2 linked regions of the Neodiprion lecontei genome follow. The protein of the gene in region 1 purifies or fractionates together with the protein of each later gene. This does not show direct contact. Links are inferred from orthologs where the notes say so. Each region holds a gene or a part of one and is shown on either strand. Other genes may lie near its edges.

Region 1 (6,383 bases):
GTCAGACGACTTTTTTTTTTTCTTTTTTCTCCTCCTACAAATTCATTCTCGCGAATAATCGATAAGTCGTATTTATAAATCATTTCATGGAGGCCCGAGCACGTTCTTAGGTCCAGTAAGTGTACCGTGTAACTGCACTCTACCAACAAATAGGTATATAACGTCTCTGTGCGCAATAGCTGAACTCCGTTTGCCTACAATCAGCATTATCTTCATCGTGCTGTAGCGACTGAAATATCCGTCATTTGAAGACAATGCAAGTAGCTACAGGGTGCCGACGTGCCACCCCGTGGGTGTGGCTTCCTTGGAATGGGCTGGATCGTGTCCCTCGACTCGCCGATGCGACGGCTGATCGCGTGTTATCGGAGGGTGCAGAGTCCCGCCCACGTGAGGGTGGAGTCCGACGAAAGAGGAAGATCTCTAGCCGGCGCTGTCAAAGGGCTGCGCTGCACGAGCCGGATGACGAGGAGGAATCTATCTCCCTGCACGCTACTGATCTCTGCAAGTCGCAGGGATATATATATATAGGGATTTATATACACCTAGGTATATCTATGATATCTATGTAAAACGCGATCGAATCCGAGGGTCTTTCCTCACTCGTGCGCGGTATTGATACTGCAGTCCATAACCGAACTTATCACAGAATTGCGCAATGGAACGCAAGCGGGTACGTATACGAATTAACTGTATAATAAGGTTCGTACGACATATACGTCGTATTGGGGTGTAATATAGGTATATTACAAAGAATTCGATTAGGTCTACCCGTATAGTGGGTACTAACATGCTGTGCCTCGTGGAGTAGCAAATGCTTTGAATAAACACTGCCTGTAACCTTAGTGTACCTATTACATATCTACTTATACATTTGAATATATGTCACTTTAGAGTATAGAGTAGGTACAACAGACTTGCGCAATGACGCTACATATTAGTATAATCTTAGTGCATAATCAGCGTCAACCCTTTTGCAATGAAAATTCGTCAACAACGATCTTCCCGTCTATCGTTCTACTCTGCGTCGTTACACCCGTAGTTGAAAACTTCCCTGAGCGGCACAAAAAGTTCGGCCGTGGCGTTTGCAGCTTCTATAATCGTAAGAACAGGCCGAATTTAAAACCTCGAGTACTCTCAGCGTAATCGAGGCAAAATTTTTACGCGACGGTATACCGGGCACGCGATCTCGAATGCAACCCATCTAATACCAGGCATACCACGTTCACGACAGGGTCGAGTTCGACAGTCGTGATAATTATTGCTGATCGCAGCAGCGGCTAGTCCGATCGATTGTCGTCAAATTGTGGAACGCAGCAGTATCGGTGCAGTGTCGCAGGGCGATTTCGTTGACATCTGGCTGACTCGGCTGATTTGGCAGGCAGGCAGTCAGGCAGGCAAGCAGGCATCAAGTGGATTTTGTCGAGTATTATAAATAGCGTACAATAAAGGCGACTGCAAACTTTTCCCGCTCGGCGCGGATCGCGGGAGAGAGGGCTGCCCGCATGGGCGAAGAGGCGAAGGGGGCGGGCAGGGGAACGGGGTGGGGGGCTGGGACTCGACGCGGAGAGAGGCGAGAACTCGGGGAGCCAAAGGCTGCGCCGAGAAGTTGCGCGCTGTTTGAGCGCATTGAAACCTTGCGCCATGTTACCACGGTATTCAGTCGCGCGCCAACTCTCGAATCGTGCGTGAGTTTTATCTCGTGGTTCTACACGTTGCGGACTCCGTTGGCGCTGTTGATAAAAAAAAAAAAAAAATAAGAATAAAGAAGTCAGGTTTCGTGCGACGCTTCTCCCTGTTATGTATATTATATACGCGAACGAGGAGAGGAGTTAAAAATAAAGGAACATTAAAAGAGCGCGAGAGTAGAGTTATAAAAATACATACGCGCGGACACTTATCCGATGAAATTGAAAGCAACCGAAGAGCGAAATGTACCCGTACCGTTGGCTCTAGATAACAGACTCATCGCCGGGGGCAATAACTCACACGTGTTCCTCAACTCCGGGCAATTTAATAACAAACACGTAATACGCGGGCTAATTCTTGTGAGACGCGCGTGAATGAGCCTGGCCTACGCCTCCCTCCTACGACTGACATTATCGCGGAGGCGGGTCGTCGTCGAACACGACCGAGATACTCGCGTGTAAGATATTCGGTGGATGAACAGTGTGCAGCGAGGAGCGGATACGTCAGGTATACATGGTGAATCTTTGCCGTGGGGTGAGGAGGGTTTTTTTCGTCAGTACAACAAGAAAGTATACGTGCGAACTATTGTATACCGATATTGCGCGCACATACGCAAGTGAACATCCCACCGCATACTCGAGGTTTTCAAGAATTTTGATAAAGTGACAGTTTGTTAATTTGAAAGTTACCGGGCTTTTATGTGTTATACATTTATACGTATATATAACAAGGAGGGAGAAAAGTAGCAGGCCGTGCGTTCCGCATCGGCGTACGAGAAGAGACTTGGAAGAGTTTGAGTCCGCGGTATTATGCGGGAGTGAAGATCGGTGAAGTTCGAATAGTCTGTCAATGATGGAATCACCGGTGATGTACGAATCAGCTGCGCATCAGGCGCAGTCCCAAGGTGTTCCGGCGGACCTTAAGAAATCCTCCCAAGTGTTGAACAACAACTCGGCCCTTCAAGTGAACCACAACCAGCAGTCCGGCGGCACGGGCGGAACGGGGGTTAACAAGGTGTCGGCGAGCAAGGCGACCCTCAACCAGCAGTACGCCGAGCACTGCGCGGCAGCGGGCGAACTGACGGACCTCAACACACCCGAGATATCGCTCGATCTTCAGCATCTGATCGACGATTCACACTTCAACGATGGACTCCTCGACATGTTGGGGGGCGGTAACGGGAACGGGAATAACGCCAGCGGCGGCGGCGGCGGCGGAGGCGGAGGCCCAGGTTCCAACGGAATGAAGCACTCGCGAAACGCCGGGTTCCCAGGGCGAACGACGCTCGCCTACATGCCGCAGCCCGTACACAGCGGCGCGAGCTATCACCAAGGGAGCAACAGCTGCAGCGACAGCAACAGCTCGAGTTCCGAGTCCCCCAGCATAAAGGAAGAGCCCCTCGACCCCGCCGACTATCGGCGTCACTGCCCTCAGTACCCCGCAGGTGCCGGCGCCTACAGCCCGGCGAACGGCGCCGGTCCCTTCGCGAACGGGGGGCCGACCTTCACGACCTTGACGCCCAGCACGGTCCCCGGGGGTCACCAGCAGCCGCGGGTCCCCATGAAACCCGTCATGTCGCACCAGCACCAGCACCAGCACCCCCACCCCCATCAGCACCAGCACCAACACCAGCACCAGCACCCTCAGCATGCTGCGGCCGCCGCGGCCGCGGCAGCGGCGAGGAAACAGTCAAAGAGCATCGACAAAGCGAGCGACGAGTACCGGCGTCGCAGGGAGCGGAACAACATTGCGGTGAGGAAGAGCCGCGAGAAGGCTAAGGTCCGTTCGAGGGAGACCGAGGAGAAGGTGAAACTACTCGTCAAAGACAACGACCTCCTCAAAAAGAGGATCGAACTCCTTACCGAAGAGCTGAGCGTCCTCAGGTCGCTCTTCAGCAGCGTCGGCGTGGTACCTGAGCAGCTACAGCGCGAGATCTCGAGGCATCTCGATCAGTTCCAACAGCACGCTGTCGGGCCCATGTAGCAGCGGCTCCCGCGATCCTCCCGTCAAATCCCATGCAAAGCTCGTTGCTTCGGCCCTCGAGCTCCGGCTTCTTCGCTCCGCCGTCCCCAGGGAACGAGTAGCTATTCGAGGAGACTCCGAGGAATAGAGCTGCAGGAAATTGGGCCCGATTCGTCGCGCGACACCCACGTTTACCGTTACGCACGGTCGTCGGTCAATAACTGCGGCATATTCATGTAATAATAAGCGAAAATTGCTAAACGAACAATCGTATAGTCGTATATGTATATGTACAGTGATTTAACGAAGAACAGTTACATTATTTATACACCTACTACGACGGCCATGACTGTATGTACTACAGGTATACGAGCTTCCTCGTCCATGTATTGCGTGTGCATTACGACCCGGCGAACAGTTCGCGTGAACCGAAAGGATTCGCAGGTGAGGCAGGCAAAGTTGAATCTGTTTAGGTGATACCATGTTTCGCGTTAACCACTCTCGATTGACCGAACGCTTCACAGAATCCTCGTGGTACGCGCGTATACGTTGAATGTACAATATGAATGCTGTGGGGTATAATTGTGCAGTATAATTGTGGTATTGCAATTGTACATACATTTCATTATTATGCATATCTACCCACATAATTACGTGTATATGCGTGAATGGGGCATCGTCACCTACACAGTTCCCGTGAGCCTGTACCTATCTACCTACTTACCTACCTACCTACCTACCTACCTACCTACCTACCTGGTATATCAATCTAGTTGCGTGGGCATTGAAAACTGGCGACGACGGCCTTCTCCGCTTTCATTTGATTATTACAGAACCGCCATTCTATCATAGGTACATACTGCAGTCTTCTATACTCAAGATGAAATTGCCTGTGTGTGTACCCATTACTTATACGCGTATCAACGGTGGGGTTGTCAAACGGTCGTGCGGAATATCGATGCAACGTGACCGCTGCCAGCAGCCCGTAATATTCATTTCTTACCTTGGTTTTATAACCTATATCCACTTTAATCTTACGTTAGAAAAAAAAAGAAAGTAAACGTCCCGTAAGATCGGGTCGTCTCTGCGCGAAGATACTTGGTTCAACGGTTCAATTTTTATACATACATACATATATATATATATATATTCATGTATTGTAACAAATTTACATCGTTGTATATTCCGTTCATGGCGTTGTGATTACGTACGATTATTACGTTATTATGATTATTGATAGATATAATATTGTTATATCAATTATTATTGTTATTATTATTATTATTATTATCATTACACACTTTTTCGTAAATGCCCCGTCGACATGATCATTTGTTTGACATTTATATATGCAGTCACATCATCCTATACTGTATATCATAAATTCACACCGATACGCCGGAAAACACCAAGCAATTCATGTACACATAGGTCCGTCGTTACGTATGAGATTCTGCTAAATTGCGATTATCGTCATTATTATAAGTTGTATAAGAATCGTAATCATTATGTTTGATGTGTAACTGTTAATTATGATCGTAGATATTATCATACGCTAATAACAATAACGACATATATATTTGTTGTTGTTGTTGTTGTTATTGTTACTACTACTGATACATATTATCATCATCATCATCATCGTTATTATTATTATTATTATTATTCTTATTATTATTATTATTATTATTGTTAATATTAATATTATTACCATCACTGTCGTAAATAATAGTTACCGAATATGCTGTACTAGCTCTATCGATAGAAATTTAATGTATTTATAATTAAGCAGTTTTATCTTAAGCCCCCGATCCGACACTGTACTATATGTCTGTTATCCGCATCCCATAATAACCTGTTGTATTATAATCATAAACATATGCATATGAAATACAAAAATATATATTAAATATGTATATGTATATTTAATATATACGTATGTTAAGCGTAAAATAATTTTAACTATGTAATGTATAGAAAGTTTAATACGTATTTTCATTAGAGAATTTAATATTATTATTGAAAATATATACTTATCGTAACAACGTATTTTATTTAGACATGTGTTTGAGCCATCGTCTGCAGTATCGTGTATATAGTATACTCACATGTACAACAATAAACGTTGGCTCAAACGCGGTCTAGTTATTGAGTTACCGTAACGTGTGAAGCAGGCTTCATTTGTTCATTTGTTCATTCGGTTGATTGTGCGAGAGATAGGAAGAGAGCGATTGAGATATTTTATTTTATGTAACAATAATGTAAAGAGACATATTCGTTGTGAATGCGTGCGTATAATAAATAGTATACATATATATATATATACATACATATATATACATACATGTATATGTATACAAATTCTACACCGTACGTTTTAAGCATGCATTGTGTATTTACGTATATTCACAACGTATATGATATTTATGCGCCGAGATTAACCGGATTACGGTGTACGGTTGTCTATTATACACATACATATATATGTAATACTTATATATAAATATGTATATTTACATATATATGTATATCATATATAGATATTTATCTGATAATTGTCTATATGCACAAATATATTTTGATATAAAATTTATAACGCCTTTTTTTACTCATACAATATTCCGCATATAATTCTTTGCCATACCCAATCAACGCATTCCGTATTATCCTTCGTCAAAATTAACCACGTCGAGTGATTTTCTAATTTCAAACACTGCACGTACAACGTACGTTCG
Region 2 (3,983 bases), on another chromosome or scaffold:
ATTCATTTCAGATACTATACAAACAGTACCATTGAGATTTAGTCATTTTTCAGCTACACTACAAAAACTGTAGATTACTTGCTAAATAAAATTAGCCCGATACGTCGTTAGCTCATTGTGACTGGTGATTGCATTTCCGTTGTCCTCATTATCAGAAATGTCCCATGATTCTACAGAAGTAGTACTTCGTTTTTTATGATTATTTGCTGTGATTTTGAATGCCACTCTTTTAGAATTTTCACAACTAGATTTTGGAACAGTTCCATTCAGCCAATGATATATTATCTGTTGATTAACAAGATTAGATCCGATGATTTCTCACATTGGTATCAGAAATTGTAATAAAAAGTTTTTTCAAAGTTTTATACACATAAAAGGTACAATTTCGTTTAATTATTTCACTCACCCATGTCATACCGACGATCCAAAATATAGTGAATCCTAATATGCAACTCATTATTCATTGAATGAGTATGTACAATGTGTAAATATTGTGTATTATTTGGTAATAATATTTTTCATTAAATTTATCTTGATATTTGCACTGCTGACGAGAGATTTCAAAATCGTTTGTTTCTAATAACTGCATGCTTTTTTTTAGCAGGATTTCAAGGACTAGATTGTTTTGGAACATGCATGTTTCCTCGGCGCATTGCTGTCACTGATATTCTGGAATGTGAGATAAGAGAAAAGAATTGTAGGTTTTATTCACAAACTCAAGAAATGATAAACCGCAAAAATGGAAAAACAATTTTTTATTCAATATGTACATTTTTAGGTCATTTTTAATTCTGATTTCAGGTATCTGTTGTGTCTTCTGTTTCCATCTCTACATTGTCATCTTCATTATCATCGTTATCATCTGTAGCAATTGGCATGTATCCTTCACTCTTGACAAATACCCCAAGAGGCGTTAACTTGAATGTTGCTAATACCTTGCCAATGAGTTTCTGTAAGAAGGTACAAAAATAATGCTCCATACTGAATTCAGTAAATTGGTACTTTGTAAAGTATACACGTAATTCCACGAGAAATCTTTTGTGACATGCATGGGTGGATTTCAGTTTTTCTCAAATTTTGTATTGGATTTCATTCATGGAAAATTGAGGGAACTAGCATTAAAATTCCAGAAGAGCAAATTGAAAAAAAAAAGAGTACATAACCGAAGCCTTTGAGCTTTTTATAATGGAATTATCTATATACTTGAAAACATCTGCTAAACAAATACAAATGTTGTACCAGTATTCTGGCTTGTTCTGGAGTGAGTGTCTGGCCCTTTTTGCAAACTTCGTGATCCTTGAGCAATGTTACAACTCCCTTTTGAAGCGATGTGGGAAGTCCCAACTGCCTCAAATGTGGTTCTATACTGTGTGCAAACTCTGGCATCGGTCCCTCAGGTATTGTTATTGTCTCATTTGCAACAAAACCTGAGCGTGCATAATCCTCTTCACCATATTGTTCCATCCAGTCCAAGACCTGTCCCAAATAAAAAAACCTTTAAAAATACTGAAATAATTATATGATATATTTGCTTAATTCATTTATATATTTGTATATTGCCATTTTCATTAATCAAGTACCTCATCCTTAGGTCTGTTGGTGAAAAGGAGCCCACATTGGCCTTTGAGAGCGGCAGATAATTTGTGTATTTCATCTTCGACTTCTTCCTCGGGAGATTTGCCCAAGCCAAGCGCCATGATTTTGTTTTTACCAAAAAAGAACCTGCTATCCTTCCATTCAGCCCGGATGTCCTTAAGTTTGTTATTTCTCATGTTTTGAACGGAGAACAAAAAAATGCTGTTATACTTTGTTACACATTTACGGATGTCTTCGACGATCTGTTGTTTCAGAACCAGTCCCTTCTTGCTGGTCTTTGTAAGTGTGACTGAAAATTAAAACGAAAATTTATCATTTTTCAATAATTACAAGAACTTGTTAGTATTAGAGAATTTTTTATAATTCCAAATGCAAAATCAGTTACGACTATCAAGCATGTATATATCAAATTATAGGTTATGTGCAAATAATATCTGGACAACGGTTCAGATTTCACTTGTGCGATAGTGTTTGAGGTGATTTACGTACTTTTCTTGTCTCTTTTGGACTTCGGCATCTTTCACTTTCTGTTTTTTCAGACGGTCTGATTACTTTGAGGTACTATTTAAAAAACAAACCATGTGCTAGTAGCACCGGTTCGAATGTCACGCAGTAAACAGTCAGGAGGAAACGTGGACGCCATTTTGGTTACGTTGAATTCAACTTCACAATTAATTCATTTTTATTCAATTTGCAAGTGCATCGGTGAGGTATTGTGTATGTCAATAAAATTTTCGAAAATTACACAAGATGTTTATCGCACAAGGGTTGAAAACGGTGCGCGTATCGAATGAAGATAGGTTATGATCGATGGTAGGGGAAGTGTCTAATCGAACGTAGTCTAAAATGGCGGTTTCCGGCGGTGAGCGGCAGTGCACTCTGTGAGATCGTGTTAGACGGGAGTCGTTGAAATTCGCTGAAGCCTTGATTTTCCAGGCGACTTTCTGCATTCAAAAGGTGAGTTTTAACCAAAAATGTATCGAAACCGAATCCTCGCTAACCGGAGATTCCGTGCATACGATAGAAGTGTTAATTTTATGCTAAATGTGCGCAACGTCGTTTGCGGGCTGTGTGAACCCCGTAGCAACTAGAGATGATGGAAATTTTGGAAAGCGGCTTCCACATCGAATAAACGAGCAGCCATACAGATACTGACGTCGTGCGCCTATCACTAGGATAATCGAGCCAGTCAGTAATGACGGCATTTTTGATTTTCCGTGTCAAGTAGACGGGTTAAATCTTCCGGTTCGAGATCGTACCTAAAGAGTAAAGGCGATAGGCGTGAATGTAGCCGCGGAGGGTACGGCTCGAGTGACGCATTTAATAGGAGTGTCTCAGGCGCCAGGGGCGCCATTTTGCCATTTTGCCAGGTTGCCGGCGAAAAAAATGTCCAACTTTTTCACATGCATTTAACGTATCCCTGTCTGACAGTGCTCGGGCATTTCACCGTTTATCGACTGTCAGACTATCATTAACCACGTGCTACCGCCGTTCAATACCCGCATGTCAAACTGTCATATTTTACTCGTACTATGAGCGATCATTTTTTAAGAATTTAGCTCCTTATATGGTCATGAGAAATCGGAGATGTCCTTCTTCTATTTCCCTCTTTCTCGCCAACCGCTCGCACTTTTTTCTCCAATCCTCGATTCGTGTCCTCGGATTTTTAAATCTTCGTAATAAACGGTGTACCATCGTTGTCGTTTCGTCATACCTACTGTGCAATTATCCGCAGCCACACGTAGTTGTAGCTTGGTAGAAGTACGTCGCATACTTGACCGTGACAAACGCCTACGACTAGGCACGCCCTTTCTCTCATCCAGGTGGATCGCCTTATTACGTACTTTAATATCTCAATCCGGTCTTCAAACCTCCAACAGGCCTTGTTTCCCTTTCTTCCCAAACTGAACTTCATTTTTAGTTCAACTTTTACGATCATGTAACAGGAAAAAGTTTTAACGATCACACGAAAGGATATAGAATGAAAACTGCGACTAAATTAGTTCTCGTCAATTATGTCTACTGTGTCGGTAAATCTTACCGTGAGTTTACCTGTACGAGACTGATCAATAACAAATGGGAACTAATTAGCCCCGCTGTTATTGAAATCGATGGATTGGAATAGATATTATCCGCATCGCTACATGTGACTTAAATTCTCGTTGTAAATTCACAAATATGCGGCATTAAATCAATGTTCACTTACATGTCGCACCAAAGATCTATCGGATTCCTGGCAGATCAATCTTTGGCACAGGTCAACGTACGTACAGCACAATGTAACAAACAACGGTCAAAGAAATTCTTTGTTAGCTTCATAGAAGTTTAATTTTTATTTTATTTTTTTTATTCTCTCTATCCTCTCCAAGCGCACGCACCTGATTCTG

What was found.
Region 2: the proteins of CCAAT/enhancer-binding protein (region 1) and mRNA turnover protein 4 homolog purify together in Homo sapiens (affinity purification with mass spectrometry; 3 studies listed by BioGRID and IntAct, with this or other methods). This does not show direct contact. The link is inferred for Neodiprion lecontei from reciprocal best matches to the Homo sapiens genes CEBPA and MRTO4.

What each region holds. Positions count from the first base shown.
Region 1 is NC_060262.1:42,523,300-42,529,682, reverse strand, and holds CCAAT/enhancer-binding protein, read left to right. Parts: upstream 1-1,609; 5' UTR 1,610-2,535; coding exon 2,536-3,669; 3' UTR 3,670-5,564; downstream 5,565-6,383. UniProt on the Homo sapiens protein: Transcription factor that coordinates proliferation arrest and the differentiation of myeloid progenitors, adipocytes, hepatocytes, and cells of the lung and the placenta.
Region 2 is NC_060261.1:34,236,435-34,240,417, reverse strand, and holds mRNA turnover protein 4 homolog, read right to left. Parts: upstream 2,293-3,983; 5' UTR 2,114-2,292; coding exon 2,086-2,113; intron 1,886-2,085; coding exon 1,581-1,885; intron 1,477-1,580; coding exon 1,240-1,476; intron 951-1,239; coding exon 798-950; 3' UTR 739-797; downstream 1-738. UniProt on the Homo sapiens protein: Component of the ribosome assembly machinery. Nuclear paralog of the ribosomal protein P0, it binds pre-60S subunits at an early stage of assembly in the nucleolus, and is replaced by P0 in cytoplasmic pre-60S subunits and mature 80S ribosomes.